Regions from separate parts of the Mus musculus genome. Here region 1 is reported to be linked to region 2. Evidence: microRNA targets listed by miRTarBase, many of them from high-throughput screens and not tested one by one. Region 2 holds a microRNA gene; the other region holds the end of a gene's coding sequence.
The links. The annotated mature microRNA mmu-miR-340-3p reads UCCGUCUCAGUUACUUUAUAGC and lies in region 2 at 786-807, opposite strand. An mRNA with a match to its seed (bases 2 to 7 or 8) in the 3' UTR can be bound and repressed. Matches are read on the target gene's strand: a 7mer-m8 pairs with bases 2 to 8, a 7mer-A1 pairs with bases 2 to 7 and ends in A, and an 8mer does both.

Region 1: miRTarBase lists AW549877 as a target of mmu-miR-340-3p. Seed matches in the 3' UTR shown: 7mer-m8 at 2,339-2,345.

What each region holds. Positions count from the first base shown.
Region 1 is chr15:3,983,764-3,986,883 of GRCm38, forward strand. AW549877 (expressed sequence AW549877) reads right to left here. Exons shown (of 6, transcript NM_145930.3): 6 at 1-2,716. The coding sequence ends at 2,433. Among named protein-coding and RNA genes, the nearest start is that of Fbxo4, 5.8 kb to the left of the region's middle.
Region 2 is chr11:50,067,569-50,070,568 of GRCm38, reverse strand. Mir340 (microRNA 340) reads right to left here and starts at 867; the gene lies at 770-867. The region is part of intron 2 of Rnf130 (ring finger protein 130); the gene reads right to left.

The DNA of each region.
Region 1 (3,120 bases), not on the chromosome of region 2:
GTGCAAAGTTTGGCATTTCAAATCATGCCTCATTAATTCAGAAGACATTACTACCTACCATGCAATGAACAGTGTGTGCAAAGATAAAATTTTAAGATATGGAGTTCGTTCAGTAGTAAGAAAAAAAATTACAACACATTGTACTGTGGTGACATGTGAAAGGAAGCGAGAAAATAAAGGAACATCTAATTTCTACTGGAAAGGGCTGAAAAAAGCCTTTAGACACAGTATTCCTAAAGGTACGTCATACAAGTAAAGTAATTTATCTGGCCACAAAGACCAGTCCAGCAATAATGACGTCTACAACGGTACTATGGTTGTAAAACATAAGTGCATTTGGGAAAGGGAGTGGAAGCACTTGATTAACTGATTATGATCCACTAAAGAAATCTGTGCTTCTAAAATTCACATTAAAGATTTAGAAAGCTACAATATTTTCCTAATAAAACTTGCTAAAATGCTAGGTTACATAAAAATCTTGGCTGTATAAAGACAGGCCAAGAGTTGTGGCAGGGATTGTGGAATCTCCCTTGGCTTCCACTGCTTATTCAGAATTCTGTTTATCAAAAAGGAACCTCGCATTTTAATGTCTGAAAACCGTTGGTCTAGAACACAAATCAGAGTGTGTGCAGAAATAAGGATGGAAAGTAGGCCTTCTATTTGCTTATTTGGAAAACATACAAAATTGGAGGGAAATGAGGCAGAAAAGATTTCCATAAGAGATAAAAATTTGTTATTTGCTCATATTGAACTTAAAATGACCATGCAGTCAGTATTTGTCAAAGTGAAGACATTTAGCAGTCAATTAAAAATGAAATTCAGAGAGCAAGGAGAGTGGGGTTCCAGTTCCTGGCATGGAAACCAGCCTAACATTATAGGTGGCATAAGCCATGATGGCAGTGAGAAATACTGCTTGCCATGAGTATTTAGAGTAAAGAGAAAAAGAGAAGGAAGAGAATGAAACTTTCATGAGGACAGGCAGAAAATGAGAAACTACAGGAGAAAGAAGAAATAACAAAGATCAGTCTTCAACAGAAATTAGGCAAATTCTTCTCCTTTAAAACAGAAAAATGCATAAATAGAGTTGACTCCCTCATAATCTAAACTTCCTGTGGAAGAGCAAGGGTAGAGGTGACTAATGAACTTTGACTCTACCATGGTGGGAAAAGGGGAGGCACCTTAGTAGCTTTGCAGTTAGGATTGTTAAGTGAAGTCAATGTGTAGCAATACACTTTGAAGGATTGCATGCCTTCCATAAAACTTAGTCTCCTAAGAATGACTGGCTGACAAGATTAATGCAGTGCTGAGAGCCTGCCAAGGATGATGCTGCCAAGGAGATAAAATAGGAGAGGAAACAAGGGAGGCCAGTATTCATGTGATGATGCCCCATGAAGTAGGGGGCAAAAAAAAACATGAAAGAGGTCGCTGTTCAGGAGTTAGAGCAGTCTAGAGAAGCCCGTGAAAAGGTTGAAAGCTGTAGAATGAAAACAGAAAAACCAATGAAAACAAAGAAATTTTAAAAGCTGAAAAGAAGAGAACTGTCATCAGTTACTAAAATGTAAGACTTCAGAAAGAGAAACTGAGTGTGGCTCATGCTTAGATTCAGTTACAGAAATGACAGGAATGTGAAGATGTCACTGGGACAGAAGTCTAGTGCATCGGAAGACTTGAGGTAGGCAGAGAAAGGTGAGCAAGACAGCAAACTAGGCTCTTTGGCCTTCAGCATTTCAGTCTTACTGAAAGGCAAAATATGTGTAAAGTTCATTATATGCAAAGATGTGCCCTACAAGCATCTGAACTAATGGTGGTCTCATCTATACTGAATTTACCTTCTTTTTGGAGTAACCATGCAGTTTTTGTTTTAAATAAAATAAAATAATTTATAAAATGGATAAGTAAATTAAGTATTATTAGTAATGCATGGCAAAATAAATAAGTTTCATCTTTTAAATCCTTTGTTGTTTAATTACTGGAAATGAAATCTAAATATTAGTCACAATATTCTAATTGCCTACATTTATAGCTATACTTTATATTTGAAACAAGGAGAAAACCTGATTTCCATCTTTGAAGTATGCATACTTCAAAATAAGGAGATTCTGTGTTACATATATTTTAGTACAATAAAAAATATAACCTAAAATATTAGAAAACAACTGTCCATCTACATTGGGTTCCTCCTTACCAGTGGCAGGTTTATATGTAGTTCAAGTTCAGTTAGAATGGCATATATGCCATTCTAGAAATTAGAGAATATTCTTCACAGACCTAAGACCACTCAGGGAAAGGTGACAGCATTAGAGAAGCGTAGTGCACTGGGCACCTTTATGTAGTGTAACCGTCTCAAGATCAGTGTAGTACATCTCCTTTGTCAAAGCCTTCTTCCCCACTTCAGCATCTTTATGTATTTGAGTTGAGACCTAGATGAACACCTAGCTACAGCGCTGCTGAAAGAAACTTAAGATTTGCTTTGCGTTTGCGGTGTTCCACTCTTGCTCCTTCAGAGGTCCTTCACACACCGACACATACTTCTTCAAAATTTTTTCTCCTACTTCTCGGAAATCCAAGGTTTCTTTGTGTGTGGTGCAGCTTGCTCCAAAAACATCAGTATCAACTTCATGGTTTTCTGACTGCTGATCTGTGCAGTGCTTTAACCCCCAGTAGCACATCTCTCCACTGTACATCATAGCCAGCACATGGATGTCACTAAAGACTCCTGGGAAGGACATTTAGAATTCAGTTCTTACAACACTAATAAAAGCTCTGACAATAAACCTTTGTCATACCACTTACTAGCTTGGAGAAGGCCACTCTCACTAGCACAGGCCTAACTTAGTCAGCACTTCTCTTTTTCCTAGAAGCGTTCAACCCCCAGACAAAGCACACTACTGTCAAACAATTTTAAAACCATTTAAGTGTGCGTACTTAACATTTTAGGAGCCTCTTTTAGGGCCTTTTTTGAGAATTAATTTCACTGGTAGAGCCCTTCTAAAATAATACGTTAAATTCTGTATACTATACAATTCTAAATTATCACAGATGATGATACTCCAAAATGCTTTGTATTACTAGGAAAAAAAAAAAAAAAAAAAAAACCACCCAGGACAATTTCCATCAGAA
Region 2 (3,000 bases):
AGCCAGCATCTCACATTGCCTCGGCTAGCCTCAGACTTGAGTTTTATGTTAGTTTTCCACCTTGTTTAACCATGCCCAGCGCACTCAAATCCTCTAGGCAGGCCCAAGTTTCAACTTTCTGGACTACTACCCATAATGATACCTAAAACCTTCAGTTCCTAAAAGCTGTTCAGAGTTCTGCCCACAGGCACAACTTTTATAAGTTAATTACAAGGATGGTTCAGTTGTGTTTTCAAGTCCTTTTCTCACATGGCTTCAAGGGCCTGTTTTAAGTCAGAGTGAGCAGCTACTCACCAAGGTCACTTTTGTGAGTATGAAGGAGGATTGTGCATCCAAACACAAAATACCCTCTCAAAACAGCAAGCAGAGACCCCAGACCTGACCTTTTGAAGGCTCTGTCAACAAATATTAGAAACACTTGTTTTGATTTCTTGTTACCTTTAGCAGTCAAGATGAGACACAACAGAAACTCAGTAACAGAAGTTTTGAAAAAAATATAGCTCAATGGAATATATATTTGCATAATACTGTATTCAAAACGGTTTATTCACTTTATTAGAGTAGTAGTTTACCAGTTTATTTTTGCTTAAAAAATCTATAAACAAAAAGGAGACAACAAAATTAAAACTAGCATTATTAAGTTAACATCTGCCTCTGGTGAGTGAGTTAAAAAGAATCATAAAAGAATGCTAAACCAGTTTAAATTTCCATTTAGAAACCTTAAGTTTGTGCTTTTACAATGTTGATCAACAGGCATGATCTGTGGTGTTAAGATACCAGGTATGGCTATAAAGTAACTGAGACGGATCCCACAAACGACATATGACAATCAGTCTCATTGCTTTATAATCACACCAAGTACAATTGGTTTTAGAAATCAGTTCTGAGGCTCCCTCTTGAAGACTCAAGCTGGAAGTGGGGAGAGCTGCACAGGTAGCCAAGGCAACCAATCCAGTAATTTCCTTAACCGAACACTAAATGGGCGCGTCAACTAATCTCAACAGGAAGCTGTTTGGGAAAGAAAAATTTAATTAGTTCAACACTTGTCAATATTCACTGTTAGGAGGACAAGAGTGAATAGATCTCACTGTAGCTTTATCATCCTAGCAAAAAGAGGAGACTGGGCAATGTTGCCAAAGGAGACTGAAAATGATCAAATAAAAAAGTACAGCAGCACATCTGATATTAGTGAAGGCAGTGATCTCTTACAGAAGGTGATGAAGCAAACTACAAACCCTCCTAGGAAAAAAGTTTCTTTCTCCCCAACATCTAGAGCTGGGCTGGGTTCAAAGAGCCTAACAAGATGGCTCAGACATTTACAAATGGGGATGGGACTAAAGAGATGGCTAAGAGCACTGGTTGATCTTGCAGAGGACGAGGTTTGGTTCCCAGCATCAATATGGCAGCTCATAACTACTGTAACTCCAATTCTAGAGGGAACAGACACTCTCTTCTGGCCTTCGAGGGCTCTGTACACATGGTGCACATAGACTCATGCAGGTATACACACACACACACACACACACACACACACAATAAAAAAGTAAATAAACCTTAAAAACAAAACAAAAAACTCTTGGGAGAGTTGGTGCAGATTCAGGAGGGATGATGACAACAGAGGAAACTTAACCCTCAGGATAAAACTAGGATTAGAGTAGCAGTAGCTGGTAGGAGAGAGGGGTTAATTAGACTGAAGTAATGGAAACATTAAACAGATACAAAGAATGTGACCAGATCACCCCTATGCCTGTGTTCTGAAACACCAAGACATGGCTTTGGAGTTCAACAATCATGCAGCTATGTGTTCCTTTTCTACTGCTGTGGTTAAACATCATAGCCAACATAACGTATACAAGGAGGGGCTTGTTTGGCTTATAGTTCCATCATGGTGGGGAAGAATGGCAGCAAACTGTAGGTAGGAACTGGATGCCAAGAACTCACACCTTTTTAAAAACACTGTTAATTTCAATTATGTGTTTATGTGTGTAGCTTTGTGCATGCAAGTTATAGTTGCCTGTGGAGACCAGGAGTCACAGACCCCCTGGAAGGGGGGATACGGGCAGTTGTGAGAGACCTGTTGTGGGTGCTGGGAATTGAACTCAGGTTCTCTCCATGAGCAGAAGAATGCCCTGGAAACCTCTGAGTCATCTCTCCAGTCTCACATCTTGAACCATAAGCACTAAGCTGAGAGAACAGCAGTAAATTTTGGGAATCTTTAAACTTTCAAAGCTGGACTCTACTAATACACTCCTCTTCCAACAAGGCCACACCTCCAACACATCCCCAAATGATACCATGCACCTGAGACCAAGTGTTCAAATACGGGCACCTATGGAAGATTTTCTCACTCACACCACCATAGCTAGTATTAATTCTTAGAGATGGCAGTGAAATAAAGAATATTATGAGTATTATTATAATCCCAGCACTCTGGAGGCAGAGGCAGGTAGATCTCTGTGAGTTGGAGGCTAGCCTGGTCTATAGAGCGAGTTCCAGGACAGTCAGGGCCACACAGAGAAACCGTGTCTTGAAAAACAACAACAACAAAAAGTTATTACTTAACCTCATGTTTATATGTATATGCGTGTGTATCTACCTGTCACTGACTCCCTGGAACTGGTGTTACAGGTGACTGTGAACTGTCCCATATGAGTTCTGAGAACCGAACTCTTTGAGAGAACAGTAAGCACTCACAACTACTGGACCATCTTGCTAGCCTGCCAATTTATTCTTTAATAGGAATTTATGTTGTTTTAGTAACTTAGCATGGCTACTTAAATTTGCAATTCTTCCCTGTAATTCTTCCCTTTTTATTCTGAGAATTTTCTTTTCTTTTTTTCTTCATAATTTACTTATTTTTATTCTATGTGTATTGGTATTATGCCTGCATATACAGACGTTCGTGTGTGAGAGTGCCTGGAACTGGAGTTATAGACAGTTGGGAGCTACCATGTGGGTGCTGGGAATTGAACTCTGGTCTTCAGGAAGAGTAGCCAATGC